Diceros bicornis minor: one gene and its partners. The protein of the gene in region 1 purifies or fractionates together with the protein of each later gene. This does not show direct contact. Links are inferred from orthologs where the notes say so. Each region holds a gene or a part of one and is shown in the gene's direction. Other genes may lie near its edges.

What was found.
Region 2: the proteins of FHL2 (region 1) and EYA3 purify together in Homo sapiens (affinity purification with mass spectrometry; 3 studies listed by BioGRID and IntAct, with this or other methods). This does not show direct contact. The link is inferred for Diceros bicornis minor from reciprocal best matches to the Homo sapiens genes FHL2 and EYA3.
Region 3: the proteins of FHL2 (region 1) and CNOT1 purify together in Homo sapiens (affinity purification with mass spectrometry; 3 studies listed by BioGRID and IntAct, with this or other methods). This does not show direct contact. The link is inferred for Diceros bicornis minor from reciprocal best matches to the Homo sapiens genes FHL2 and CNOT1.
Region 4: the proteins of FHL2 (region 1) and TNKS1BP1 purify together in Homo sapiens (affinity purification with mass spectrometry; 3 studies listed by BioGRID and IntAct, with this or other methods). This does not show direct contact. The link is inferred for Diceros bicornis minor from reciprocal best matches to the Homo sapiens genes FHL2 and TNKS1BP1.

The regions. Positions count from the first base shown.
Region 1 is NC_080779.1:8,314,248-8,321,570, forward strand, and holds the start of FHL2 (four and a half LIM domains protein 2), read left to right. Parts: upstream 1-4,314; 5' UTR 4,315-4,355; coding exon 4,356-4,469; intron 4,470-7,323. UniProt on the Homo sapiens protein: May function as a molecular transmitter linking various signaling pathways to transcriptional regulation. Negatively regulates the transcriptional repressor E4F1 and may function in cell growth.
Region 2 is NC_080752.1:43,545,637-43,553,588, reverse strand, and holds the start of EYA3 (eyes absent homolog 3), read left to right. Parts: upstream 1-4,946; 5' UTR 4,947-5,048; intron 5,049-6,315; exon of another isoform or gene 6,316-7,259; intron 7,260-7,952. UniProt on the Homo sapiens protein: Tyrosine phosphatase that specifically dephosphorylates 'Tyr-142' of histone H2AX (H2AXY142ph). 'Tyr-142' phosphorylation of histone H2AX plays a central role in DNA repair and acts as a mark that distinguishes between apoptotic and repair responses to genotoxic stress.
Region 3 is NC_080771.1:11,898,242-11,905,961, reverse strand, and holds the start of CNOT1 (CCR4-NOT transcription complex subunit 1), read left to right. Parts: upstream 1-4,713; 5' UTR 4,714-4,819; intron 4,820-7,720.
Region 4 is NC_080770.1:16,630,793-16,638,250, forward strand, and holds the start of TNKS1BP1 (182 kDa tankyrase-1-binding protein), read left to right. Parts: upstream 1-4,458; 5' UTR 4,459-4,538; intron 4,539-7,135; exon of another isoform or gene 7,136-7,200; intron 7,201-7,458. Other genes in the region: FACT complex subunit SSRP1, read left to right, coding at 968-1,097, 1,538-1,708, 1,856-1,944, 2,467-2,653, 2,904-2,975.

The DNA.
Region 1 (7,323 bases):
CTCTAAAAATCTTCATCGAAATGGTCAGTTAGGTACTGATGTTGACCCCCAGCTCATGTTTTACGGGTTCCCTTTCTTCGTGGTGATGATGAGGTCTCCTGGGGCCCATGGGGTGGCCACGGTCAGGAGGAGGCCCCGTGCCCATGCCCACAGCCTCCCATGCCCACCCGTATCCCCCACCACGGGGTCTGCAGTCAGGCCACACTCCTAGCTCTGCCTTCCCTCAGGGCCTCTGGCAGGAGAGTGAAGTTCCAGTGTTTGCATCCCTGAGACACACGGGAACACTTCACCTTGTGAGGCTTCTATCTTGTGCTTTCCTCAGGAGAAGTAGCCGACAGAGTAAGGACTACCTGCGATTGGATCTGAGCATTTCAGCGCCTGGTCTCTGTTTAGTCTGCCTCCGTTCCCACTCCCCCACCCCCACAGAAACTAGCATCTCTAGGTTTCTGTAAGCTACTGAGGCCAGAGTTGGAATCCCTCTGGGGTATCCTACCTCAGCACTATCAGTCATCAGAATTACCTGGAAGTCCTGTTAAAACACAGAGCCGGCCTGAGAATGTTTTCCTCTGACACATTTCCGGTGGTCCTGGTGCTGCTGGTTGGACCACACTTCAGAGAGCCATTGACCTACACCATACGGTCTTCCCTCTCTTTCCTTTGTTCCTAGCTGCTCCTCTCCCTGAACACCCCACCCCCACCCCAAAGAAGAAGGAGGTCGGCGCAGTGTTGGGTGGTGAAGGAATTACAGGAGAATTGAAATAAACAAGAGAAGAACTTGAATAACCTTTCAGAGTTGCCACTTGATCCCTTTCCCAGGAAATATCATTTCTTAATTTTTTTCCTTCCATGAACTAGCCTTTTATCTATAGCAGAGAATTTTCTTTGAAAAAGACAATCTTTGGGGGCCAGTCCAGTGGCCTGGTGGTTAAGTTCAGCGCACTCCACTCCAGTGGCCCTGGTTCGTGGGCGCGGATCCCGGCTGTGGACCTACACCTTTCGTCAAGCCATGCTGTGGCGTCGACCCACATACAAAAAATAGAAGAAGACTGGCACAGATGTTAACACAGGGCCGATCTTCCTCACACACACAAAAAAAATTTTATTGAGATATAACATTATGTCATATCCCAGGTGTACAACATGAGTCCATATTTGTGTATACTGCAAAATGATCACCACAATATGTCTAGTTAACATCCATCACCACAAACAGCTACAATGTTTTTCTTATAATGAGAACTTTTAAGATCTACTCTCTTAGCAACTTTTGAATATATAATACAGTATTATTAACTATAGTCACCATGCTGTACATTACAAGCCCAGGACTTACTTATTTTGTAACTGGAAGTTTGTACCTCTTGACTACCTTCACATTTCCTTCTTATTCTGGATTCATGTTTCCTTTACCATCAAATAAAATACCATGGAATAAAACTAATATTTACTGAGGGCCTACTATGTGCCAAGGACTGTACTAACAGTAGTAAATGGTGTATATGCATCATCTCAAAGGATCTTCCCAATGATTTTGAAAGTATGTGTTATTAGCCCATTTTGCCTATAAGCACACTGAGGGTTAGGGAGGTTTTGTGGTTGCCTGAGGCCACAGAGCTAGTCATAGGTAGGACAGGGATTCTAATCTAGGCCTGAATCCAACAGTCAAGCTATACTGCCATCGATAGCATTATAATTTCTATAATAGTCTATCTGCTATACTGTAAAATAATCAATTACAAAATGAAAGACTTGTCACATATTATGTGACTTTTTTTTTTTATTTTTAAAGATTTTTATTTATTTATTTTTTACCCCCGAAGCCCCAGTAGATAGTGTCATAGCTGCACATCCATCTAGTTGCTGTACGTGGGATGCGGCCTCAGCGTGGCCAGAGAAGCGGTGCGTCGGTGCGCGCCCGGGATCCGAACCCGGGCCGCCAGCAGCAGAGCGCGGGCACTTAACCGCTAAGCCACGGGGCCGGCCCCAAGACTTGTCACATATTAAACAACTCTTCTGTAGTCCATCCATTCATTCAGCATCTATATTTATTAAGTGCGTCCTATGTGCCACGCACTAGAGTTAGGTCCTGGGAATACAGTGGTAAACAAGATAGAACTTGTCAAAATACATTCTATGAGAATGTCTTGTGAAAATTTATTTTTTAATAGTTTGTCCTTTGATTAAAATTGTTCAGAAAAGGACACATGTCAGTAAGCCAGAACTGCATTCCTCCTTCCTGTTTCTCTAGCCAACCTCCTGTGACTTTCTATAAACTCAGTTTAACAAATTTGTTTCCTATTTTTCTTAACGAAGGAGCATGTGTTGCTTTAATTTTTAAAACATTTTTATTTTTTGAGTGGGTAATACATTTATATAGCTCAAAATTAAAAAGAAACCAAAGGGTATATAGTAAAATTTAATCTCCCTTCCACTCCGGACCTCCAGCCACCCAGATGGCCCCAGAGGCACCACTATTACGTGTATATGTTGTCGTCCCCTCCTTCCTCCTTTTCTGTATTGACAATGGTTGGTTACTGTCTACAGAGAGCTCTCTACTTTTCTTTGGTTGATATATCTTGGAGATCATGCCAAATCAATAAATGGAGCTACTCTGTTCTTTTTAACAGCTGCACATAGAAATAATTCTAGAATGTACTGTAAGATATTTAATTAGGCCCAATTGATGAATACATAACCTGGCCCAATATGTTGCTATTACAAACAATTCTACAATGACTCCTCTTGGATGCATATCAATTTACCCATGAGTGAGTCTATTTGTGAGATAATTTCCTGTAAGGGGAAATGCTGGGTTAACGGCAAATGGTACATGCATTTGTAGTTGAAAACATTTTTCATTATGGAATTTTTCAAGCATTACAAAAGGAGAAAGACTAGTATAATGAATTCGCACATACTTGTCACCCAGCTTCAAGGGTTACCATTAATCCATGGCTGATACTATTGCGTATATATTGGTCCCATCCATTCCCTCCACCTCAAGTTATTTTGAAACAACCCTAGACATAATAGGTAAATATTTTGGCACTATTTCTGAAAAGTAAGGGCTTTAAAAATGTGTGTGTGTAATTTCATTATTACACCTAAAATAAAGTAATAATTTATTGTCATCAGATATCCTATTAGTGTCACATTTTCCCAGATTGTCTCATAAAAATTTATTTTTTTAATATTTTGTTCTTGGATTCAGAATCTAAATAAGGTCCATCCATTCACTGCGGTTGGTTGTTTTTTTTTAATCTATCGGTTTCTTCCTCTTCTCTCTCCTTCTTTCTTTCTTGTTTTTTTTTGTTTTTGTTTTTGCCGCATTATTGTAGAAACTGGATAAATTTGCTTCCAGAGTCTGGATTTTGCTGATTACATCCCCATAGGGTCATTTAATATGTTCCCCTATCCTTTAGGCCAAAGGGGAAATGCAAAATTAAATTGTAGAATTTCTTAAAATAATAATATGGAAAACAACATCAGAATCTGTGTGACACAGCGAAAGCAGTTAGAAGAAAATTTATAGAACTAAAGAACTATATCAAATGTTTGCTCTCGAGTTGGTGCAGACACAGGTGTAGGAGCAAATGTTTCTTCCCGACGCCCCCTTTCCCATGCGTGGGACTCAGCCCGTGCCCCTTGTCCTGCCATCTGTCCCCATCAAGTGTGGGCTTCAGGCACAGGGCCCGGGCTTTGAGTGTGGGAGGCACTTGCTCCACCTCACTTTTCTTTTCCCGCCCTGGAGTGGAGAACAGAAGGTATCAACAGCCCTCTCCCCCTGGAGTGTTGGGGACTGGACCTTCCCCCGTCCCCTCTCTATCGGAACAAAGAACCTGGCGTCATCCGTCTGCTGGGCTCACTTCGTGGCAGAGGGGTCTGCAGGGTAAGGCGGAGAAAAGCCCACCGTGCACATACATCCCGGGCGCGGGCTTCCTGCCGTCGGAGACCTGAGCCGTGGCCGCGGCGCGTCCCTCGCGCTCCCCCCGCGCCCTCTCAGGCTCGGCCGGCCTCGCGGTCCCGGAGCCGGCCGGGGAGTCCGGCCGTGGGCCCTCTGCCCCTGCGGCCCTCGCCCCAAACTCGGAGCCCGGGAGCCGACGCGGGGGCGCAGCCCGGCGTCACCACCACTAAGGCCCCGAGGGCCCCGCGGCGACGGACAAGCCCAAGGCGAACAAAGAGCCGGGCCGTGCGCCCGCGCCCCGGGGCGGCCGAGGGGCGCCGCGCCCCGCGCCCCGCTCCCCGCTCCCCGCGCCCCGCGCCCGCGCCCGCGCCCCGCTCCCCGCGCCCCGCGCCCCGCGCCCCGCGCCCGCGCCGCCGGCGCCCGGGAGGCGGGCGGCTCCTTATATGGTCAAATGACACGGCGGGGCGCTCCGCGCGGAGCCGCTGCGCTCCACTCGGCCGGCCGCGGAGCCGCAGCCCGGAGCCGCCGCCCGGCCAGCCCGCGAGAGCCGGCCCGCCGCCGCGCGGTGAGTGCCCGCCGCCCCGGCCACCCGAGGGACACGGGGCTCCACCGGCAAGGCTGGGGACAGGGGAGCCGGGCCGCGGGGACGCCTGGGGACAGGGAGCCGGGCCGCGGGGACGCCTGGGGAGAAGGGAGCTGAGCACTGAGGAGGAGCCGGGGAGAGGGGGGACGAGAGCCTAGCCCAGGGGGAGACCCCGGGAGAGGGGAGCCGAGCCTTGGGGACACCCGGGGAGGGGCAGCTGAGCAGTGAGGGGGACCAGGGGAGAGAGGAGACGAGCAGTGGGGGAGACCCGGGGAGGAGGAAGCTGAACCGTGGTGGGGAGGCCCCGGGGGTACTGGAGGCCGGAGGGACCCCCGCCCCATCCCCGGAGGGAGGACCGCGGTCCTCGTCCTGGCGAGCTGGGTCACCGCCGGGTGTGGAGGAGAGATTGTGTCACCCACGGGCTAGCGCCGGGCAAAGGGTGGCCGCGGGTCGGAGCGCAGGGAAGTGACCGCCCCCTGTCCCCCGGGGTCGGGGGTTGGCACGCAGGCCGGCTGCCTTCAGTCTGCGCAGGGGGTCGGGGGCATTTCCCTCCACTAGAAAGAAGTGGAGCTTGCGGGTGTGGCCTCACGCATTGACTCCTGCGGAAATTAAAAAACTGAACCACTAGGTTAAAAAATGGGCTTATTTTAAATGAAAAAAATTCTAATCTTAGATTGCAGTCGTATGATATCTTAGCATACCTGAAATTGTGGGAAGAGAGTGTTAAATGTTGTTTCCAATTTTAAATGAAGAATCAATTATATTTACTTTCAAATCGCCGTTTGGGTTTCCATTCCAACTAGGCCAACTCAGGTTAAATGAAATGGATACAGCTGCCTTCCGTGGCCTGCACTTATTTGGGGAGGTAATAAGTCACAGTTCTCACAGTTCTGGCTTATAATTAGGAGAACTATGTTCAAAACGAGACACTAAATACTTCTGACACCTTTGTGTTAACCCTGCTTGTGTGTGTTTTGTAATAATGTGTTAGAGACAGTTGGCTTTGGTATCCTGAAGGTGATTTAAACCAGAAAACACTTGAGGCCAGTCTTAGGTGTATGGGAAACCCTAGTCTGACAATTAAACTTCCATAAACCCAAACTCAATGAAGAACGCTTCATTGTGTATTTATATAAGATTATTTCACAGTGTTTTTCAGATATAGCTCACCCTGAATTTTTAAGGATTATCAGTGAATATATAGAATTGGGTTTCCACAGTGTTTATTATCCTCCATGCTTCAAAATGCTTTTACACAGCAGTGTATCAATAAGGAGCAGGTTGGCTTACTGCCCACCCGGCACTGTTCTAGGCACACACGTTGGCAGTCTCATTTACAAATAAGGCGGGTGTGATAGGCTAGTGGGTGTGCAGGGACTGGAGCTAGGCTGCCTGAGTTCACATCCCTGAGTTCACTGTCCCTCAACCGTGAGCTGTGCAACCCTGGCTAAGTCACCTAACCTCTTGGTGCCTCAGTTTCCACAACTGGAAAACAAGGATGTGATGGTAGCTTGCTTGCAGGGTTGTTATGAAGCCTGCACACCATAAGCAGTGTATACATATTTGACACTATCCTCATTTTTATGGATCAACTGAAGCATGGAGAGATCAAAGGAACTTTTGCTTAAGGTTTCCCAGACTATAAATGATGGTCCTGAGATCTGACCCCAGACAGCTTGAGAGCCTGAGTCCTAACCACTAAACTATTGGGGGCACACCTGAATATTTCAAGGAGGCCTTATAGTGCATGTTTTAACCCAAAATGTTTGTTAAACCACTTCCAGTACTGAAAGAAATCAAAATTGCAGGAAAAAACGCCCAGTGGGATACTGAAAAAAATTAGACTGGGCGTCAGGAGGCCTGGGTTCTGTTCCTGTCCTGCACTGAGGGTCAGTCACCCAGCATCTGGAGCTTGGGCTGCCTCATGTGTCAGCAGAGGGGCTGGAGTAGGTAGTTAAGCTTATCTCTGACTCAGATGCCATGACTCAAAGTTCCTCGAGCTTGGGTGAACAAAAACATTAGATATTGGATACTTCCTGTGTAGTTTTATTAGGAGAATTTTATTAAAGCCACATATATCACGTGGCATTATACTGAGAGGCCACTTCCTCAAGATGACCACCATGGACAAAATGCATGGGCCTTCTCTAGTGACTGAGACCCCCGTCTTCCAGGAGACCAGGCTGGCCTTGTGTCTCTGGGGTGAGTTAAGTGAATTGCTACTGTCATCCTGAATGGTGGATTTGAACGATAGTTTCTGTGATGGTTAATTTTATGTCAGCTTGACTGAGCCATGGGGTGCCCAGACATTTGGTCACACTTTATTTCTGGGTGTGTCTGTTTCTGGAGGAGATTAACATTTGAATCAGTGGACTGAGTAAGGCAGATTGCTTTTCCTAATGTGGGTGGGCCTCATCCAATCAGCTGAAGACCTGAATAGAACAAAAAGTCTGAGCAAGTGGGACTTCCTCCTGCCTGACTTGGATTCAAACTAAAAAAAAAAGACTAAATAAGAGAGAAGTCCGTTTGCCTGACTGCTTGAGCTGGGATGTTGGTTCTTTCCAGCCTTCAGACTCAGACTGAAACATCAGCTCTTGGGTATTGAGCCTGCCAGCTTTTGAACTGGAACTTGCACCATTGGCTCTCCTGATTCTCAGGCCTTCAGACTCCGACTGGAACTACACGTTAGCTCTCTTGAGTCTCCAGCTTGCCAGTTGCAGATTGTGGGGCTTCTCAGCCTCCATAATATTGTGAACCCGTTACTTGTAATAAATTTCCTTATACACACACACACACGCACGCGCGCACAGTCATGCACCTCATAACAACGTTTCGG
Region 2 (7,952 bases), on another chromosome or scaffold:
TTAAGCCACTGAATTTTGGGATAGTTTGTTCTGTAGCAATAGACAACCAGAATACACTTCAAGTGTGGTCTTAGTAAATACAAAGCTGACTATGGTAAGGATGCAGAAAATGTCCTATTTGTTTATTTCTGCTGGTGTAGTTTTAATTCTGTATGCATTTCTATGACGTGTTCCTAAAACACCTGAGTTTTGTTCAAGAATCATTCTCTACAAAGCAAGAGATCTTGGATGTTACCAAATGATACTGATTTGTTGGGGAAAAAGTATGAACAATAATAGTGACCATGTGGAAAAGGTGCCTGCGGGTAAAGTGAAGACAATATATTCAGGAGACGGGAAATGTTTTGCTCTGAAGACAGCAATGGTTACTGCATATCTTGAAAATGAGAATTTATTCTACTCCAAAGTTTTCTTGCTGGTAGAAATTTGGACAAAACTGTGAGAAAGACTCTAACCATCTCTACGCAGGGCCAAGTAGGCAAAAAGCGACCTGCATGCTTATTATAGCAATGACCAGATTGCTATAGATTGCTTTTTAATTAATTCATTAACTATTGTGGTAAAAAACATATAAAATTTATAATCTTTACCATTTTTAAGTGTACAATTGAGTAGTGTACAAAATATTTCCATTGTTTTGAAACAGATCTCCAGAATCTTTTTATCTTGCAGAACTGAAACTCTATACAACTTAAACTATTCCCCTTTGCCCCCTCCCTTCAGCCCCAGTAGCTGCCATTTTACTTTCTGTATTTATGAATTTGACTACTTTAGATACCTCATATATGTGGAATGATATAGTATTTGTCCTTGTGACTACTTCACTCAGCATAATGTCCTCAAGGTTCATCTATGTTGTAGCATTTGACAAGATTTCCTTCTTTTTAAAGACTGCATAGGGCCGGCCCTGTGGCTTAGTGATTGGGTGAGCGCGCTCCGCTGCTGGCGGCCCGGGTTCGGATCCCGGGCGTGCACCGGACCCACCGCTTCTCCGGCCATGCTGAGGCCACGTCCCACATACAGCAACTAGAGGCTGTGCAACTATGACATACAGCTATCCGTTGGGGCTTTGAGGGGAAAAATAAATAAATAAAATCTTTAAAAAATAAATAAATAAATAAAGACTGCATAGTATTCCATTGTATGTATATACCACATTTTGTTTCTCCATTCATCTGTCAATGGACATTTGGGTTGCTTCCACCTCTTGGCTATTGTGAATAGTGCTGCTATGAACATGAGTGTGCAAATTTCTCTTTGAGACCTTGCTTTCACTTCTTTTGGATATATTCTCAGAAGTGGGTTTGGTGGAACATATGGAAGTTCTATTTTTAATTTTTTGAGGAACTGCCATACTGTTTTCCATAGTAGTTGCATCATTTTATAATCTCACCAACTATAGATTGTTTGTAGAACCTCAACTGTCATGAATATAATAAGATATTGCTTTAAGTACAATAGAGAATATCAACAGAAACAAAATCCAGACCATTGTAGTTCAGATACATCAATCAGGAGAGTTTAAATTGATACCTGTTATAAAACATTGACAATACACTCACTAATCCTTTTTTAATGGAAATATATAATTCAGAGGCCTTATTTTTAGACACTTTTATGTAATTAGGCTTATGTTTTGATTTACATTTTGGCTTTTGTTTAGAAAGATTTGGTTATAACATTTTGGACTATTTTAATAGCTCTTCTTTTGTGTTAAATTTAGAATGAAATATTTCAAATCTACAGGAAAGAATACAAAATAATATAACAAATGTCTAAGTACTTACAAGCCAGCTTGAACAAATCATATTCTTGCCATATTTCTTTAGATATGTCCCCAGGAGTAGTGCAGTAGGGCAGGAAAAGAACCCTAAGAAACATTTCCACTCCTGCTGACTGTGACAGCAAGCAAAAATGCATGAAATCAGAGAAAAGAAACTAGTAACTAAATGATCGTACTTGGCTACCTATTACTCTTCCTGTAGTTTAAGAGGAACACGGCCCAGTAGCTAAAATCAGGGGCTCTGAAGTCAGATAGACCTGTATTCAAGTCCTGGGTTTGCTTCTTTCTAGTTGTGTGGCCTTGAGAAAGTTGCTTAACCTATCCTTGCCTCAGTTTCCTTATCTGAAAATGGAGATAACATAATAATTCCCAAGGTTGCTGGGAGGATTAAAAGAGAAATGTGCACTCTCATGTATTTACTATACATAATGACTATACAGTTAGTGACACATAGTGAAGCTTCAACAAATATTAGTAATTACTGGTTGTGTTTATTGAGCACCTACTATATGCCAATCACTCTTCTGGTGCTGAGATCCAGCAGTGAACAGAAATAAAGACTCCTGTAGAGCTTACTTTCTAGTGACAAACAACAGTGTAATTTCAGATGGTGATAGGGACCATGAAGAAAAGATAAGATATTGGAAGGAGGTGCTACTTTAGACAGGAGACAGGAGGTCATAGGAGGCCTGTATGAAACCTTCAGAGGTGAAATTGAACTGAGCAGCAGAAGGAACCATTCATTGGAAGTTTGGGAGAAGAGTGTTGAAAGAGAGGGAATGGTATGTGCTTAGGCCCTGAGGCAAGAAAGCTTGGTTTGTACAAGAAGCAGAAATGACAGGATGACAGAAGCTCAGTATGTGAGGGGAAGGGAGCGTGGGTACTACGTCTGAGAGTTAGGACGAACAGGCCAAAAAGAGCCTTGTAGTAAGGAGCATAGTAAGGAGCTTGGACTTTATTCTTAAGGGACTGTGAAGACATCGGAGGGTTTTTATTGCTAGTAGGTACAGCACCCTTTGCTCCGAGGAGGACTTTGCGTGCTTTCCTGTAGGTCTGTTTTAATTTATGTGTATGTTTATGCTGCAGGAGTAACTTTTCTGAGATACCACATTGGTTACTCATGGGCTCCCCCTGGTGGAGTTGGTGGCTAAGCTCGCATAGTTTCAGTTGCGCAAAAACAAAGAAAATGAGCAATTTATCCCAAAGTAAATGAGCAATTTATCCTTTCGTTCAACATTTATGGGGCGCCTACAATGCGCCAGGCTCTCTTGTGGTGCTGAAATGCATCCATGAACAAAACAAATAAACATCTGTGCCTTCATGGAGCTTAAATTCTGGGGGAGGCGGGGGGGGGGGGGGGGGGGGGCGTTGGGCGGGGTGGTGAGGAGAGACATTAAACCAAATTCACCAGCAAATTATTGGATGGGATAAATGTTATTAGAGAAAAATTAAGGAGGGAATTGGGCTAGGAATGCAGAGAGGATGGTAGTATTTCAATTTAAAATATAGTGTCAGGGAAGGGCTCATTGAGAGGGTGACATTTGAACAAAGATGTAAGGACGTGACAGGGTGAATGATGCAGTTATCTGAGGGAAAAGCATTCCACGCTGAGGGATCAGCAAGCACAAAGGGCTTGAGTCTATGTGCAGGCTTGAGGAACAAAAAAGGGGCCAATGTGCTTTGAGCGGAGGGATAATGGAGAGGGCAGAAGATGAGATTAGCTGTACTGCTGAGTGTCACATCTTGAGGGTCCTGTAGGCCAAAGTAAGCATTTTCTTTTCTTTTCTTTTCTTTTTTGTGGGGAAGATCAGTCCTGAGCTAACATCCATGCCAATCCTCCTCTTTTTTTTTGCTGAGGAAGACTGGCCCTTGGCTAACATCTGTGCCCATCTTCCTCCACTTTATATGGGACGCCGTCAAAGCATGGCCTGACAAGCAGTCCATTGGTGTGCCCCCAGGGTCCAAACCGGGACCACCAGCAGCGGAGTGCCCGCACTTAACTGCTATGCCACAGAGGCGGCCCCAGGATTTTCATTTTCACTTTGAAATAGGAATCCACTGGACAAACGACACGATCTGATTAAGGTTTTAACAGGAGTCTGCTGCTGTTGTATTAATAGATTGTGGGAGGGCAAGTGTATAAAAAGGGCAAACAATCACAATGACTGTGGCTTGTAACAACAGAAGCAGCAAATGGTCAGATTCTGGATAAATTTTTGAAGGCAGATCCTGCAGAACTTGCCGTTGAATTAGACGTGGGGTGTGAGAGAGAGGAGTCAAAGATCTTAATAAAGATCTTAGCAAATGTTATCACAGGAAGAGGCGATCAAACAATATATAGCCAAAAAATGTAGGAAAAAAGTATTTTAGAGGTGTATTAAGCAGTTGAGTGTGTAACTTTTCTGGATTTTGTGTTGTTGAAATTTTAAAAATTTGTAATTTATGATTTCTTTTCTCATTTAAAGATTCATTTTTATAATTAATATTTTATTTGTAATTTTGAATTTTCTTAAAGAGGACCCCCAAATTGAATAAACTTCAGGCCCCCACAAAACCTGACTTCAGTCCTGCTCCTTTCCCATAGTTGGGTAGTAATTTAAAGTTAACGAAGTATTAAAAATTTTTGTTTCTGATAAAATTATTACATAAAACAATGTGCACGAAATAGAAGTTAATTGTAAGCTCAATACAGTATTAGGACTAAACTAATATTGGGGATAAAAACATCACCTTGGGCTAGCCTCTCCCAAGTGTCTTCTAAAATTTCCCACCCATTCTTCCTCCCACAATTTTTCTAAATCTACCAAATGCAGCCAGCATTTCCCCTCACGTTCGCTTTAGGAAGGGATTACACGCATTTTAAAAGACCTTCTTGAAAAATGAGCGCTTAAGTATTTTTTACCGGAGCCGCCTGTGCCTCTGTGGCACCACGGTCCGGACGCAGGGAAAACCAGCCCACCCGCACAAGCACCACGGTGGCGCCGAGTGGGGCGTAACCAGGGGCGGGGCTCCCGGGCCGACAGAGTGGGCGGGGTCTAGGCGCTGCCCCGCTCCGCCCCGCCCCGCCCGCTCCGCTTGACGCATGCGCTCAGAAGCTTCTGGCGGAACGAGGTGTGGACTGTGAGGTGACCCTGGCCGCTGACTTCCGGTTCCTAGGGATGTGCATCCGGGTCACGCTAGCGCCGCGGTTTCCTCCACCCGCTTGGTTTTGCTGTGGGTCTGGACCGGTCCCTATGTCCTGCTGTGGGGCCTCTGGCGTCTTTGGGTGAGTCTCCGCCGCCGTCAGGGTCTGAGTGCGGCCGGTCGAGAGCAGCCTGTAGAGGGGCCGGTCAAGAGTTCTCTCCTGGTCCCTGTGGGTGAGGGTTCTCATTGCCTGTCCCTTGTCTCTACAGTGCTTCCCTCACTTCAGCCCTTTCCCTCACGCTGGCCTCGCCTCTTTCACCTGAGCTTAGCCTTTCTCGTCTCCGCGTACCTCTCGCCTCGCTGTTTTTCCGCAGCCTCATCCGCCCCTTACACGCCTAGATTTCTTGCCTTTCTCCTCAGCGCTTCCCTCAGCCACTGCCTCTCCGTTTCCGCCTCCTCTCTCCTTAGTACCTCTCATCCCCGACCCCCGATCCCGGGATCTCGCTGTTCTTCCACCGGGCGGGACGGCGCTCCTCCTCTCTGGGCTCACCCTCCTCCACTGCGAAACTGAACCTGTCTCTCTGTAGAGTCCTACGTCCTCGACCCGCAACTTTCCTCACCTTAGACCCCTACCTTCTCCCGCGACTAGTAGGTGTCTTCCATGCTTTGCTGGGGTTCTCCCGCCTTTTCTTAGCTAGAAGAGGGCTTTACCTAGTCCCGGATATGGGTCGATTTACCCGGTCTGGGGGAAGTTTTGCCTGGAGGCGCTGAGTTGGACTGAACTCTGGTAGCTTCCGTAGTTCGGGAACAACAAAGGGGTTCCCAGTTCCCGGTTCTTTGCTGGAGCACGGTTTGGGGGGCTCTCTCTAGAGCGGGCTAACAGGTGGCAGGCACACGGAACTGCTGGCGGTTGGGCTTGTGTGATCTTGTTAATTGACAGGTCATGAGGACGTGCTGTCATTTTGGCGTTCTCTCTCCGATGAGAATGGAGGTACACAGCTGGGGCAAAAATGCGATGTTCTGGGACGATCAGCTCTGTTTTCTGCATGGGCTTTACTTATAGGACAGTTGCTATGGCAGAGGACAGAGTTCCTTGGGAGATTAGCCCCAGATTTATAAGTTTATTGCCGAAAATTTTAGTACGTTGTAACTGAAACGTTTTCTGCTAAAGAGTTCACTATAGTGATTTCAAAGTACATTTTCTTTAGTTGAACTTAGCGTGCACATGGATCTTTATTCTTGCCTCTTGTACGTTGTCTTCATTTTTACTGTATTGACAAGTTTTTCTGTTTTTATTCCTGTTTCCTCCTAAGCCAGACATTACAGTACTTTATTATTTAGAATATTTTTTTATTTATTTATTTTTTTACTGTTTCCACCCTAGTCTTCAGACCACCTTTTTCTCGTTTTGAGACTTAAGTTTCTCTTGAATTTCTTAAGTTTCTCTGGAGGCTTTTAGTCATCTCTAAAATGAAGGGATTGGATTTAATAATGGTTAGTGTCCCCTTTCCCAAATTTTGTGATCTGAGGTATATTTTGAGACACAGGGTTGGATAATTTTTATCTTTGTTTTTCCAATGTTTATGGTGTATGTCTAGCATTTGACTGCAAATGTTTTTGTGTGATCAGTTCCTGTACTCATATAAATTGTGCTCTAAAATTTAGTACTTCATTGAACAGAATAAATACAGCTTTTAGCATCTGCTTCTCTTTTGACTAATGAGTTATAGAAAAGTCTCCCTCATTATATGATAAATATACATATGTGAGCATAGCATAGACCTTGGCTTATTCCAAAACTGAGCTGCTCCCTTCAGCTATTTTTAGCAAAGGACTTCGGAGCTTGGCCATATTAGTCCTAGAAGCCACAGAGAAGGACCCTTCTGGTTGGCTTTCAGGACTTATCTGACTGCTGAGGGAAGCCCTTTTGAAAGCTTCTTACCATACCTCCTCCCCAGCACCTACACTGGACATTCGAGCTTCTGTTCAGCCTGGCCTCATCATTTCTTATCCTTAAAAGCTAACCGCAATGAGTATGGGCTGACTCTCTCTGTTTCCTTACCTCCAAGTTTGTGGACTTTTTTTTTTTTTAGCCGTGGGAACTTCATAGATAGACCTATATTTGGATTGATGCAAGGCCCTCTTTCAACTTTTTTCATTTCTGAACTTGTTATTTCTTGAGCATGTCTAAGTCTAAACCTATGTAGATTTCTACAGTTTACAGCTGGAGAGAACCATCGAGTTCATACTTACCCCTTCATTTTACAAATAATGAAATCAGGACTTAAAGAATTGGTGATGATTTTTCCAAGGTCACTTTTTACAAGTGAAGAAGTCCTGTACATGCACTCAGGTGGGTTTTAGTTCCATCAAAGCTGTGTGCTGGAGAGCACAAATAGTATTTAGTGGTTCATTTCAATAAATTTATATCATAGGAATGAACATTTTAGGATAAGAAACCTGTGACGCAAATTTTTAAATTCAAATCTGAAGTCATTTTTCCTTCAAAGAGGGAACTCTAGAAAGAAACTGTGTGGTGGTGAAGTAGAAGTTGCAAAGTCTTAAAGTATCTCTTTCTCTCTCTTTTCTTCTAAAATTACTTTGGCCTATTATGATATAGATTCTGTATAAAAACCTTTATATGAAATGAACACCCCATGGTCTCATTGGATCAGTTGTGTTCATGCTCCTGGTCTTTGTACAGAACGCTGATAGACTTTCTAATTACTGAAAAGTCTGCACCTCTTACCAGCTGCCAAACAAACAAATATCACTAGAGACAGACAGACTTAGTGTATGTGTTTTTAAAGCTCAGGAGAGGAATCGTTGTAAATTTTCTGTAGAAATTTCTACTTTAGTTTGGTGAAGTCTTAGTTTGTAATTCTGAGGGCTCAATTTAAAATACATTTCTGCCCCTTAGTTTTATGCCTAACGTGTTTTTTGTGTTGACTTGTTTTGATTATTTTTTTTTCCCCCCCAAGCCCCAGTAGATAGTTGTATGTCACAGCTACACATCTTTCTAGTTGCTGTATGTGGGACGCGGCCT
Region 3 (7,720 bases), on another chromosome or scaffold:
CTCCAGGTGGGGCACCCATCTGACCTCCAGGTGGGAGCAGACATCTGGTCTTAGTTCCTGATAGTCTTTTGTTTTACTGGATGTGCATCAGAGATCGGAGCAACACCCTATACCCTGATCTTTCAGTTGTCCTTGATGATGGCTATCAGCATAGACTCTCTTCCCCGGGGGTCATCACATTCCTAAGGAACTCAAGAGAACAAAGTTATCAACTTATAGCAGCTGGGAGGGGCCATAAAATCTACAGAGCATGTCTGGGCTAGTTAATCAGAGGTCCTTCAAAGTTACGACAGGGTTTCTTTTGTACACTATGGCTTCCCTTATGTCAACCTTGTGTTGAGCCAGTATCACAATATCCTCAGAATAGTGAAGGGAGAAAAGGAGGTCCAGAGTGGGGAAGTGACTTTCCCAAGGCTACATAGAAAGTTAGGGGCACAGACTGGTATAGGACTTGGGTTTCTGAATTTCTCAGTGGGCTTTTGCAGTGTGCCTCCCTGGACATCCTTCCCCCAGCTCAGAGCTACCAAAGTCACACCAAGACCTGGATGCCCAGGGAGTCAGGAGGTTTGACACTAGGCAGTGATGATGGGCTGGAAGGAGATCTGAATTTAGTTGGGCTGTCAATGAGGTGCCTTGAATAGGATAAAGAATTGTAAGGTAGTCAAAACCACTGCAAATTGAAGTTACTGACTCATCTGATAAATGGGACTGAAAAACAGGAACAATAAGGCCTTGTATTTCAGCTCACCCTTCTTCAAAGCACCTCCAAACATTTTGTAACATAGTTTGCACAGATCTCCAAGTCTCCAAGTCCTTTGTCTTCTAGGTATTTTTGCCTCCACCCAACCCAATTCAATCCAATTTTGTTTCCTACCACTTGCATTTCCCCCTCCAGGTTATTTTGGGAAACAATGGAAAAAGTTTGTAAAGTTCTCCCAGAGGCTGGGATGCACAATTAATTGGGGGGGGCGGGGTAAGGACTGGAAGAAGAAGGCTGAGGAATGAGGCCAGGTGAGTAATTAACAGCTGGCTGAACTATCCTGTTTCTAAACACGTTTGAACCCTAGGACACATAATTGCTGAGTTATAAGGTGATTCAGGGAATCCTTTGTGAAGGTCTCTTGTAAAATGGTTTGTCTGGGCATGATTTCCTACTATGTCTTTGAGTAAAAGAAAAAAGGCGCACCAGGTGATCTCTGCTACTCCTTCCAGTTTGTAAACACTGTACGAGTCTCTGCTTTCTAGTAAAGATACAAGCCACCTAGAATTCCTGACAACACACCGTTGGAGGACTTTGATCTCCAGGCTATTGTGTGAATCCTGCAAGTACTTGGCTAAGTCCCCATGGAAGGTCAATCCTAGGAGTGGTGTTGGTGCAGCTCCCATGGAGGGGCTGGTAGTGGGCTCAAGGGTCTCCCAGAGCATCCTCCGTATAAGTAGGAATTCATTTTCCTAGCAAAGACAGGCCGAAGTGGGGAAAGGCAACTCAGCTTTATATTAACTTATCTTATTTAAGGAGATCTATGGGGCCGGCCTGGTGGCGCATGGGGTTAACTGCGCGTGTTCCGCTGCGGCGGCCCGGGGTTCGCCCGTTGGGATCCCAGGGTGCATGGATGCACTGCTTGGCAAGCCATGCTGTGGCGGCATCCCATATAAAGTAGAGGAAGATGGGCATGGATGTTAGCCCACGGCCAGTCTTCCTCAGCAAAAAAAAGAGGAGGATTGGCAGATGTTAGCTCAGGGCCCATCTTCCTCACAAAAAAAAAAAAAAAAGGAGATCTATGTTTGAGGTCTGAACTACGTAGAATTACAGAGCCGACCTTGGATAGTTGAACTCTATGGGTATCACTTTCTGTCTCTTTTAAAAAAATTATTTTAAATTATACAAATAAAACTTAAATACATCCTCCTTGTAAAAAGTTCAAGTAGTACAGTACTATATAGAATTAAAAGTAAAAGTTCCCTTTAGCCTTCCTCATCCCATTCCCCTCCCAGGGGTAACCATTGGTGTCAGTTGGCGGGAGGCGTATCTTCCCAAACCTTTTCACCCATTTCGTCATATGTAAATATAGATACAGTTATTTTCTCCTACACAAATGGTAACATACTGATTATGCTATATATATATTTTTTCTATTCTGCACCTAATTTTTTTATTTAACGATAAATCTTGGAATCTTTCCACATCAGTACATATAGATTTACCTCAATCTTTTTAAAAACTTTATAGTATTCCATTGTATGACAGTACCATACGTTTATTTAACCCCTTCCCTATTATTTCCAATCTTTTGGGGCCCCATAACAACGTGTCAGTGAATTTATACATTCATCTCTGTGCATATTTTCAATGTTGACCTGTGGAATAAATTCCTAGACATGGAATTACTAGGTCAGTGGGTCTGTGCATTTTCAGTTTTCATAAACTCACACAAAATGCTGCTATCCATAGGGGTTTTACCAATTTTATACAGCAACAATGTATAGAAGGGCCTTATTCCTCATCCTTGGTCTGTTTAAGGGGCTTTTAACCACTGACATTATAATGTTGTAAGTCCATTTCTCTGTTTCCTGATTTTTCTGCATTTATTTGCTCACATGTCTACCATGTGCCAGGCACTGTGCTAAGTGGTGGGAATACACTATGAATAAGACTGAAGCAATCCTTGCTCTTCCTGTACGTGGGGTCCCTGGGTCTTGTACAGTTGCTTGAAAACACAAGACATTCAGTAAATGTTTGCTGAAAGAATTGGCCTCCAATCAAGGAAAGGCAGGTGTCAAAAACTATTTTTGGTTGGGCCGGCCGGTGGCTTAGCAGTTAAGTGCACGCGCTCCGCTGCTGGCGGCCCAGGTTCGGAGCAGGGGCACGCACCAACGCACTGCTTCTCTGGTCATGCTGAGGCCGCGTCCCACGTACAGCAACTAGAAGGATGTGCAGCTATGACATACAACTATCTACTGGGGCTTTGGGGGGGAAAATAAATAAATAAATAAATAATTAAAAAAAAACCCTATTTTTGGGACATGATGCTAAGTGAAATAAGCCAGTCAATAAAAGACAAATATTGCATGATTCCATCTGTAACACGTATCTAAAGTAGTCAGACTCTTAGAAAGTAGAATGACGGTTGTCAGGTTTTGGAGGGAGGAAATGAGGAGTTAATGGGTATAGAGTTTAAGTTTTGCAAGACGAAAAAGTTCTAGAAATCTGTTGCACAACAATATACATATAGTTAACAGTACTGTACAGTACACTTAAAAATGGTTAAGATGGTAAAATTTGGGGCTGGCCCAGTGGTGCAAGCAGTTAAGTGTGCGCGCTCCACTGTGGTGGCGGCCCAGGGTTTGCCAGTTTGGATCCCCGGCGCGTACCCATGCACCCCTTGTCAAGCCATGCTGTGGTGGCGTCCCATATAAAGCGAAGGAAGATGGGCATGGATGTTAGCCCAGGGCCAATCTTCCTCAGCAAAAAGAGGACTGGCATGGATGTTAGCTCAGGGCCGATCTTCCTCACACACACAAAAAAAGATGGTAAAATTTTATATTATGTGTTTTTTCTACAATAAAAAAAGTATTTTGGGCACAAAAGGTAGTATGAGACAGATGGTTAGGAGACAAGCTACTGAGACTAGCCTCAGGATGATGAGAAAGGCATATTTTTTCATAAGGTAAAAGAGCCAACCGCGTAACACTGCTTTCTCTGTTCTCCTACCCTCATCTGGGAACAGGTGACCATAAAATTTTACGATCTACTGTAGATAATAAACCACAGCAAAATATATGTTTCTATGCTTTTTCTCTTGAGAGCGAAGGGCATAGATATCCCTTCTGATACTGCACACGGGGAATAAGCCAAAAAGGGAACCTTAGCTTCCTATCTCTCCGTAAAGCGTCTTTCCTTCAAAAGGCAGAACAAGGAGAGAAAGTTCTCTCGCTAAAAGTGAGACAAGCTAGAATCAAGTGGGACCCTGGGAGACTACATTCCCCAGCATGCACTGCTCTTCCTAGGGCGCAGTCAGCGACGGAGAAGACGCATTACTTTTGCGACAGGAATGGGAACTACATATCCCGGGATGCAAAGCGCCACCACTCTAGTTACAGCCTGGCTTGCTTTCTGGTAGCTGCCGGTCCCCGCCAAAGGGATAAGAGGGGAGGGGAATGTTTAAGATTTGGAAGTTCCGCAGTCTACCGGACTTGACACTTCGAAAGAGGAAGAAGAGTAGGGAAAGGCTGTTTCACTTCAAGTCCAAGTAGTTCCCACTCAGGGTGGCGAGGGTTTATGGGCCCCCTCCCTTATTGTTTCTCAGAGGCAATGCCAAGCCCCCACTGGCCGAAGACTTCGAGGGCAGGTGGGAAGTCCATGAAGCCCCAAATCGAAGTTCTCTGCGTCTCCTCATTGGCCCTCGTTTCAAGCGCAGGCGCGAGGGCTCCGACTCCAGTCCCTAGGGACGGTGAGCGGCAATTGGCCAAAGCCCGCGAACTAGAGTCCGGATTGGTAGTTGCTAGCAGGAGCCTGGTTTCTTCCTTGACTTCTGCAAGTGATAGTGTGTGATTGGTTTAAATCCGCGGGCACCTGTCGGTGATTGGGCGGGCGCCACGGGCGCGGCACGGTCATTGGCTGGCGCCGGGACCATCCCTCCTCGGGCGGGCAGCGAATGATGAAATGGGAACGGGGAGGGGAAAGGCCGCGACGTGAGCGCGCGACCTCCGGCGCCATTTTGTAGAGAAACAAGCGGAGTTAACCGAAGAGGGGGTCGAGGAGAGCCGGAGTCGGGGACCCAGGAGTTTCCTGTGTCCAGCGCCGCCGGAGCCGCCTGAGGTGAGGTGTTGTGCGGCCTGCTGGCGGAGTTAGCCACGGAACGCGGGCGCCGGTGGGGAAGGAAGCGGGTGGTCCCGGGGCCATGGGGAGCGTTTCCCGGAGCCTCGCGGAGTAAGGGGCAGTCGGGACAGGGAAGTGGCGAGGCGGGAGAGGGCGGGCTCTCTGCCGTGGGCTCGCGGGGAGTTCGGGCTCTGAGGAGAAGAGGCCGGCGCCGCGGCTCCACGAAGCGGAGGGCAGAGCGCGGGGCGAGCCCCGGGGTGGTCCCGGCCCGGGCCTGGGGGCTCCGCGGGCGGCGGGGGCGGCAGTGCGGGCGGCCGGGCCTTGTTTGGCGCGGGCTGCACCCTCCTCGGACCCCACGAGCTCCTCAACTGCCCCTTTCTCTCCGGGCTGCCCGGTCGGTGCAGGGGGCATGGGCTCCCGAGGCCTAGCCCCCGGGGCCAGGGGCCGTGTGGGGAGTAGTTGCAGGCTCCCAGGTCTCGCCCGCCGACCTGGAGCCGCCAGTCCCCCTCCCCCGCCCCCAGCACGTTGTCAAACCCGGGTGTTTCAGGTGTCCGCCGGTGGGAGGGGCGGCGGGCGCCAGCACTTCCTGATTGCTGCTTGCCACAGGTTTTGTTCCACTCGCGCGCCGGGCGCTCGCACTTTCTCCAGACTCGGCCCCCACCCCCTGGGCCGGTGTCTGTGCTCCGCTGGCGGCTCTGCTCCTGGGAAGTGTCCCCCTCGTGCGCTGAGCACTTGCAGGCCCCGCTGCTGCTGAGAGATTTACTCCAGGGCTCCTAGGGGTTCCTCCCAGACACCAAGATTCTTGTGCACTGCCTCCCTTGCTGCAGAATTCCCCCATCCCGGCTCACACCAGTAGTTACCCCCACTAGGAGTAAGCTTTGTGGGCTAAAAAGAGAAGGTGCTTGATATCTGCGGGCTTGAAAGTGGTGTTTAAAATAAACTTTGAGAAGTAAACTTTTCCCACGAAGTCACTCAAACATCGCATTTCTTAGGACTCTATTAAAAAGTCTGTTTTCTTCCTGAAAGCTGTAGACTTCACCTCCCTCAGTATTTCTCTATAATTCGATTGCCAGGGGGGATTTGGTTTAAGTCATGATTGAGTGAATATAATTATTTTTTGTGGAAAAAAATGCTGAGCATTTCTCTTACGACAATCTGTTTGTTAAGGAATAGGGATACATGGATGAAAAAATGGGAGGACAAGTAAAAAATTAGGAAGTAGGTCAAACAGGTTAAGAACAAACTTGTTTTTTGTAGAGGTATTCGAGTTTAATGTGTTAGTGTTCTGTGGCCGAGGTTGACGTGGCTACTAGTATTTTAGCTATTAATAAGATATATGGTAACAGTTTAAATCGTGTTTTATTTAGGACATTAAATTGTTACCTTGTCTAAGGAGCAAATGAGCTGATGATACATGAAGTTTTAGGTATCTAGTTGTTTGACTGAAATGGTGGCATGTTGATAAAACTTGTTTGGAAAGTTGGTCCCTTTTCAACAAGTGTGAGTCCCGAGTCTTTCAGTGGAAACTTAAGTCTAGAATCAAGGCACAAAGACTTGAATATTAGTAACTGAAAGTATTTCCCCTTTTTGCCTAAGATTGTAGTCTTAGTAGTTTTATGGCAGGGTTTTGTGGCACTGTGGTGAAATGCTCTTGATTTCTAACTCACTCAGTGGATCCCTGGCTTAGTTTCTTTCTTGCTAGTCTCTAAATTTCTGCTGGGGGTTTAAATCCTGGTCTCTTTAACATGGATCTTGACAGACTAAGTACTGTGACATCTTCCTAATTTTGGATTAAGTCATTGAAAAAAAAAAAAAACTGAAGACAGAAGAGGAAATGCTTACTATCTCTTCAAAACATGCTTAAAGACTAATCTCAGGTTATCGTTGCAGGTTGCTTTTTCCAAGTATGTTTTTGGTTAGATTCTGATCTGGTTATGAAAAGCTTTCTCTTCAACCAGCTTAAATTTATGAACTTCAATCTTTTATTTCATTCTATGAGGTAACAGGTCTTTGGCACTCAATGCTCTGGAAGGGAATTTGTCCACAATAGTTTTTTTTTTTTTAATTTTATTTATTTATTTATTTTTCCCCAAAGCCCCAGTAGATAGTTGTATGTCACAGCTGCACATCCTTCTAGTTGCTGTATGTGGGACGTGGCCTCAGCATGGCTGGAGAAGCGGTGCGTTGGTGAGCGCCTGGGATCCGAACCCGGGCCGCCAGCAGCGGAGCGCGAGCACTTAACTGCTAAGCCACGAGGCTGGCCCCTCAATAATTCTAATTGAATGCTCAGATATTTTAAGACACGAATTTTTTGTAAGATGTTTATGCTTCTTGGATTAACAGAAATAGTAGCCTGCCATTTTGAAATGCTTTAGTTTATGGACTTGGTATATTCTTTTATAAAAGTACAAGACTAACTTTCAAGTCAGTTAAAAATATTAGTTGAAGCACCTAAACCGCCCTCTGACCAAACTGAACTTCCTGCTGGGAAGTTTCAAAATGGCATCCCACTGAGTCTTAGTTTAAGGCCTTATATACATAGAAAAATCCTGCAGTTCCTTTTCTGTTTGCTTACGATTTTTAAGAATGTTTCAAAGGTAAGATGGACTCAAAACCTTTTGTACCCTATATATACACAATAGCTTATTTTAGTGTCCTTTTTCACTCACACATTTGTAAGAATGTAGCAAAGTAATAAAGCAAATTGTTCAGTGAACAGCATTGTTTGAGAAGTCAGTAATTAGAGGTGTAGACTTAGTCTGAAACCCTGTGTTGAGATTTGAAGGAAATGCTGCCTGTGGGAGTGTGGCGTGTAGATGTAAGAAATGCATTTGTCTTTAATGCTGGAAAGCTCAGCGTAAACCTCCAGGATAAAATGTCTTGGTTAATTTTGTTACAGTG
Region 4 (7,458 bases), on another chromosome or scaffold:
ACTCTGATTTCGTTATATTTAGATTGGTTTGCTCCAGGCAGTGCTAAATGACCCTCAGAACCTCTGGGCAGGCTTCATCCTACTGGTTTAACACCCAGAAGTGCCCTTCTCTCAGAGTAGCAGTAAACGCGTGGTTACTGCCCCTTCCTGAGTCTGAGGTATTAGCATGTGCTTTGACGGGCCAGAACCAGGCCATGTACCCACCCTTGGAGCCTGTGGTTGGGGTGAGCCCCTCCTGAATGGGGGCCAGGTGGTTCCCAACAGAAAATTGGAACTCTTAATTCAGAAGAATTGGGAATGAATGTTGGGCAAAAAAAAAAAAAAAAAAATCTCTAGGCATCCATTAGTTCTGCTTGCCACATACTTATGAAGGTCAGTAAGCAAATGCTTGTGAAAATGCCTTGAGAACTGTTTGGTACCATATACATATAAGGTAGTTCCATCTCTGAGAAGTTGCACTTGTATCAGGTAGGACTTAGTTATGTGGGTATGTGCTGGGTTGGACTTAAGTTGGTTTTCCCCACTTTTTATAGTAATGAATTCTCTCTTCGTCAGAAAAGACTACACAGTAGGTTAAGATGATTAACTCAAAGGAGGTGGAGAAGTGGACTTGGGGCAGGTTCCTGGCAAGATGAGACAGCGTTTCTGTCCCCAGGAGCACGGGGATGGAGTTGGAGCTGGGTTAGGCCATGACCAAAGAGAGCAGCTGAAGTCCGTTGGTTCATTTGTTTTTCTTTGATTAATTCAACAAATAACCCATTGTCATGGCTGGGTCTGGAGAGGGATGGCTGAAGCCACCTCAGCGAAGGGGAGGAAGCAGGGTTGGGGACTGAGGGTGGAGGCTGTCCTGTGGTCCTCCTCCCTCTCCCCTCTCTGGGCAGGTATCTTTGGTCTTGTTTTCCTCCTGGCCTGGGGCTGTGGGGTGCTGTCCTCCCTCCCTGAGTCTCTGCCCCACTCTCCTTGGCAGGTTTGACAGCAATGCCTCTGCCAGCTCCTCCAGTAATGAGGGTGACAGTGACCGGGATGAGAAGAAACGGAAGCAGCTTAAAAAGGCCAAGATGGCCAAAGATCGCAAGAGCCGCAAGAAGCCCATGGAGGTGCAGACTCGCCTCTAAATGGGAGGGTGTTGGGGAAGCCATTCTCTTCACCTCTTCCTGCCCATCACCAGCCAGACCTGTTGATTGGTCCTCCTGGGGCTGCTTTTTGTAGCCAGTGATTATGGCCTTGAGGAGTATCTTCCTGGAAATTTTTCTCTCTGTTCCTTGAGATAATTAGCTTCTGGGAAATCTGAATTAGGAGACAGGCTTCTTCTATCCCAGGAGCCCGAGGAAAGGGCCCCTAGTGAGTTAGGCACTGGGGTGCGGAGAGGAGGAAGACATGGTCCCTGCTTTTAGGGAGCTCTTGGTCTAGCCCGGTGCTATTTAGTCTTTTCTCCATTTTTTTCCTCCAAGTAGGTGATCCAGATAATTTCTTTGGGAGAATGTGGGGTTCTGTGGGAAATAGACGGCTGAAGGCATGTGGGTTCATTTTTATGTAGGTGAAGAAGGGCAAGGATCCCAATGCCCCCAAAAGGCCCATGTCTGCCTACATGCTGTGGCTCAATGCCAGCCGAGAGAAGATCAAGTCAGACCATCCTGGCATCAGTATCACGGATCTTTCCAAGAAGGCAGGCGAGATCTGGAAGGGAATGTCCAAAGAGAAGAAAGAGGTGAGTAGTAGCAGAGACGAGGGGTGGTGAACCTTGTTAACTGATCGAAGGGGCAGGGGGCCCCACTGGTGGAAGTTTTCTTGATAGATTTTGCCTGCATCAGGGAAGAGGTCTCATTCTTCTGTTTTTTCTGTGTGTGTGAGACAGGAGTGGGATCGCAAGGCTGAGGATGCCAGGAGGGAATATGAAAAAGCCATGAAAGAATATGAAGGGGGCCGGGGTGAGTCTTCTAAGAGGTGAGTGTCAAGAACAAAATGGCCCAGTAACTGCCTTTTTTGGTGGATATTTTTCCAGGTTGAGAATTGGGGTGTTAAAGATAATAGATATGCTCCTGACTGCAGCAGGGCAGTGCTTCTCCAATCTCAGTAGGCATGTTCAAGCATGGGCGACGTGCTAATGCCTGACATCACTGGATAAATATGGCCCATTTTTCTAGAGGGTCAATTTTATTTGAAAGTATAGGGGTATTAAAAAATATGATTATGGAGTATAATTCACATGCATTTTTAAAGATAAAGCAAGAGATGTCAAGTAAGTTCTGCATATGATGCTGCTTCAGGCTATGGCCCTTGATTCTTCTGGTTATTCGGATGCTCTCCTTTGGGCCACTTGGGGCTGACATGGCTGATATTTATGTTTAGGGTGAGATGGGCAGTATGGCTGGGATGGAGAAAGGCCCTGTTAAAGCTAGGAGAGGTTTGGCCTTGTTGGTGGCGGCAACTGGAGGGCCCAGTGCCTTTTCCCTCTTGCTAATATAGGGACAAGTCAAAGAAGAAGAAGAAAGTCAAGGTAAAGATGGAAAAGAAATCAACGCCCTCTAGGGGCTCATCGTCCAAGTCGTCGCCAAGGCAGCTAAGTGAGAGCTTCAAGAGCAAAGAGTTTGTGTCCAGTGATGAGAGCTCTTCAGGAGAGAACAAGGGCAAAAAGAAGAGAAGGCGGAGCGAGGTGCGGCAGGAGTTTGAGGGCTGTGGGCCTGGAAGGGTGAGGGGCATCTCAGTCGAGGGTGGGTGGGTGAGGACAGAGGTTTCTGGGCTGGGGTTATGGTTGGTCTATAAGAGTAATGAGATGGAGTGGACAGGTGGAGTTCTGAGGTTCTGAAGGCTAGTGCTGGAGCTTAGGGAGGGGGGTAGGGAATTGGGGGGCCCTTCACCACTGAGGAGGTGGTCTTTCCCCTTAAGAGACCTTTGGTTTTCAGGACTCTGAAGAAGAGGAACTAGCCAGTACTCCCCCCAGCTCGGAAGACTCGGCGTCAGGATCTGATGAGTAGAGAGGAGGAAAGTTCTCTCTCCTTGGGCTTGCCCTGTCACACCCCCCAGGCTCCCCACCCATATTTTGGTACCAGTTTCTCTTCATATCACATGTTGTCCTTGGATTCTGTGCCATCTGAACAAGCTCTCCTGGTGGTCTGCACTTGCCTGGGGCAGCAGGGGAGGCGTTTTACTCTGCTGCTTCATGAGGCTGGCTCTTCATAATTTGGGGAGAGATTGGGTGGGAAGCAGGGCAGTGCAGGATCCAAGTCCTCCTCCTACTCTCCCGACCTTGGGGATATAGCTGCTTGTCCTGTTCAAGTTGCTGCAGCAGGGGTCGTGTGGGGTCAAGCCTGTAGCTCCTAACTGGGGCAGATTTCTACTTTTATTTTGTATTTCTGGTCTGTGAAAATGAACATTTAATAAAGGGAACTGACTTTGGAAACCATGTCCTTATGCTTTCTCTCTGGCCCTCTTGTAATGCTCCCACTTTTCTTGGTGTTGTTGACCACACTGTTCTGACTGGGCAGGGCCCTGCTGGTCAGCCGGGAAGCAAGTCTCCAGGTACATCCTGTTCTGTTCCCGGCTGGACAAGCATTGGTTTTCACCCTCTTCTGCCGGGATGGGCCACCTGAGAGTCTAGAAATGAGAGCTGATCTGATTAGGAAGTCTCTCTCACAGTTCCACTCCATTAGCCCAGCTAAGGAGAGGCAGCTCTTGGCTCCATCGCTAATCACCTATGAGTCAAGGGTCTTCCCAGGCTTCACATAATGGAATCAGGATCGACGAGCCTCCCTGCAGCCAGGGGAATGGAAACCTGAGCCTGCAGAGTCGGGGAGGATGAGCGGTGTGTGGGGCGGAGTGCAGTCTAAAAGGCAAGGTATGGCCAATGTGTGAAGCTTTTGAGCTTATGGGAGGAAAGGGGCATACCCAATTTTGAGGCTGGGAGGAACTTCTATCTGGGAAGGGGGCATAACAAGAGACAAGGAGGATGAGCGAGGAAAATAGACCTTCCGGCCTTCCCGACGGTGGCTCTAAGGCTGAATTTATACACGTGGAGTGGCCACGTTGCGTAGGTTCTCAGGTGTTTGCCACAGGAAGCCTCTGCAGTCGGCCAACGGTTCCCTTCTTTCCGGCCGTGACTCTATGGTGCTGCGATCCGTACAGGCCGCTCAGCCTGAGGATTGGGCCGTCCTAAGGCGGTCTCCTCTCTAGGCAGGCGTCTCGGTGGCCATTTTGCCCGAGCGCTCTCAGCGGCTGAATTGCGTCAGTTTCGACGGGGTCTGGGCCCGGGGCGGGCCCCTTATTTGCAAGCCTCATGAATAATTGAGCACCTGGGCTGCGCCTATTTGCATACGATCTACCGAGTTCTGCTCGGGCTTTCCACGCCCGGTTGTCGCCGGCTCATGGGTATTCATAAAGCGCGCTGGGGGCGTGGGCCGGGGCGGAGCCAGGGGCGGGGCCCCGCCCGGGCTCGCACTGGCTTGGTCCCGCGGTGACGGCGGCGGCAGCGGTAGCCGCGGCGGAGACTGGCGTCGGGGCGCCGAGCCCGAGCCGAGCGGAGCCGGATTCTGGGGGAGCGCGTGAGTGTGCGGGGGCGGGCAGGAGGGCGAGGGAGGGGGCGGGGTCCGGGACTGGACTGGGGACGGGGGAGAGGCATGGAAGGAGTGGGCGCTTTCCAGCCAGGACCTCGAGTTGAGGTGGAGGGGGGGGTTCACCAGGAAAGTTTGCAGGGGTCGGGGGCGAAGCAAGGGTACCGCGGAGCTGGCGCGTGTGCGCGGGGGCGGAGGATGCACGGTCTGAAGCTCGTGCTGGCCGAGCCAGAAGAAAGGGGGGAGGGGGCGAGGGCTTGAGGCGGGGCCCGGGGCGGGCGGAGCTGCTAGAGGGACCCCCGCTTCCCTTTCCCCAGGGCGCACGCTGGCCCCCTCCTCCGGCTCCCTCGGCACGCCCCCAGCCACCCAGTCCGCCCCCACCCGGCCCGCGTCCCTAGTGCCTGGTCTGTTCGCCGGCTGCTTCACATCCCGCGCACAGGTCCTCCGCTACTGCTGCCGCCGCCCCCTCCTCCTTCCCTTCCTCCTCCACCACCACCACCACCTTCTCCTCCTCTTCGGCTGCCGCCGTCCCCTCTTGTGTCCAGAGCTCCCCACTGGGCCCCTCCAGACGGCCCCTCGCCCCGGGCTGTTCTGTCTTCCCGCTGGCCCTCCCTCCTCCAGCAGTGTACGTGCTGTCGCTGCCGACCTCTCTGGCCCCGGATCCGGCCGGAGATCCCAGGGTCCGGAGGGGCGACCCGGCCTGCGCCGATGCCTCGTTGCATCCCTGCGCCCTAGTTGGAGCTGCCGAGCCTCTCCCCAGCCCTTCTGGCGGCCTTTGCTCCCGGGGTTCGGCTAGTCTCCCCCTGACTCCTGGAGGTGGGGAGTGCTTAGAGCCGCTGTGATTCTACAGCTTTTGGCTACGGTCTTGGTCACCAGGGTTTCCGGGCTGGGGACTCTGAGCTGCTGTGGCCCCCTCCTCAATTGGGGAAGCCGAGCCCCCACTTCATTGCTGCAGCCCCTCCTACCCCAGAGGTGCCCATCAGGCCCCCAGGTGAAAAGGTTTTTTGGTTTTGGGCCAATTCCTCCACATTTGTAACCACCCACACCGTGTCCCTTGTAATAATGTTCAAGGACAAGGAAACAGTCTTGTGTTTTTTTAATTTTCTTTTTTCTGTCATGTGCCCCTCCCCCCACGCACACTTAGACTGGCTCTGCACGGTTCTTCACCCACCCACGAGGAGCAGTCCTCCATGGTAGCTGGCTAACTAAAGGGATTGATGGTCCTGGGTTTCTCCCTACCCTCTTTATATTCTCTGCTGTCTTTGAAACAAGCTGCTTCAGGGTCAAAGGTGAGGGCTGAGGGGCTTTTGCTAAGGTTGGGCACTGAGGTCCCTTGTTAGGACTTGGTGCTGTCTTCCCAGCCCAGCTGGAGGGGATGACTCTGAGGAAGGCAGTGCCCCTTGCAGGTTGGAGACGGTTGGGTTGTCCTCACCGACTTTGTGCCTACTGGGTGATAGGAAACATCCTCCTTCCTTTGGAACAACAGGGGCAGGCCTCTGTCCCCCAGGCTGGAGAGCCTGGGTGGTTCTTGTGGGTGGGATGGTGCTTCAGGAGCCAGGATGGGAACTGAGGAGGTTGTTGAGTGTCTGAAGAACAGGTGACATGACTTGGGTCTGCGGGAGTGAAGGAACAGTTTGGGGAGAGGAGAAGATGGTGACCAAGGATGTTTGCTCATTGGTGACGCTGAATGGAATCATGCTAATAATGGCCAACATTTATTGGACAGTTATGCACTAGGCATTGTGCTAAGCAATTTGCATGCATCATTTCATGTGATCCAACAGTCTCAGGAACTCTTATTTTTCACATAGGGAAACTGAGGCTTAGAGAAGTAAGCGACGTGCCTGAAGTCACACGCCTAGAAAGTGGTAGACCCACTCAGCATTTGCATCCTGGTATATCGGACCCCAGAACTCCTGTCATGAGCTTAGAGGAGAGGCACCCATTTGGCTTTCACTATAAGGCAGTGTCACTTGGTTTACAATTTCTTCTGTCCCCCTCAAAACCCCTCAGGCCAGCCCTAGGCTGGTGAGTGATGCCCACATAGCCCCTTTTCGTAGGCTGTGGCTGTCCCACCCTGACTGTCCTAGAAGGGGGAACCCCAGGGAGTTTTTCCCCCAAGCCACCCCAGCCCCCGGATGTTCTCAAGCCCTGTCCCATTCCCCCAGCCCAGGCCTGGGCCGGCTCCTCCTTCCTCTTGGCGAGGCTCTGGAAATCCAGTGGGAGGCCATTGCTATGGCAACAGGACTAGGCCCTGGCTTTACCTCATCAAATTCCAAGCTGAAGCCAAAGCGATTGAGAAATTAAAGAAAAAAATGTATTCCAGATGTTTACTTTTTATTCCTTATTTTTCCGTGTTTGGATGAGACAGCTCTGAGGGAGGCGGGAGTAGGGCAGGGATGTGGAAGGAGGAGGGAGAAAGAGGGGGGAGAGGGAACCACTCCCAGCTGCAGGAGGGAGGGGAGGGAAGGAGGGTGAGCGGGAAGGGGGAGGCAGGCGGTGGGGCGGAGCCCCAGGTTGGGGAGGAGCGGGTTTTTCCCGTCTCCCATGAGGTGATTCACGGAGAGACTTCAGACTTTGCGGCCTCTTGCTCTGCTCGTGAGTAGAAACCTCAAGAGCAGGGCCACCGGACTCAAGGGGTGCACTGGGAGCAGTAAGTGGGGTGTCTGGGGGAGCTTGCCAGAGGAGGGCGCGGTGGGCAGCTCCCTAAAGCTCCAGGCCTTTGGGGTTAGGTGACAAGTTAGAGAGTAGTCTGGGAAGAGTGGAGGATATGGCTGCTGGGACCTCCCTTGACCTCCCCCAACCCCCCTTCTGAAGTTCCCTCTTCCTGTCCCACACTCTGCTTCAAGTAGGACACTTCTCCCGGCTAAGCCTGCTGCCAACGCCCAACGCTTTTGCCTTCTCTCTCTCT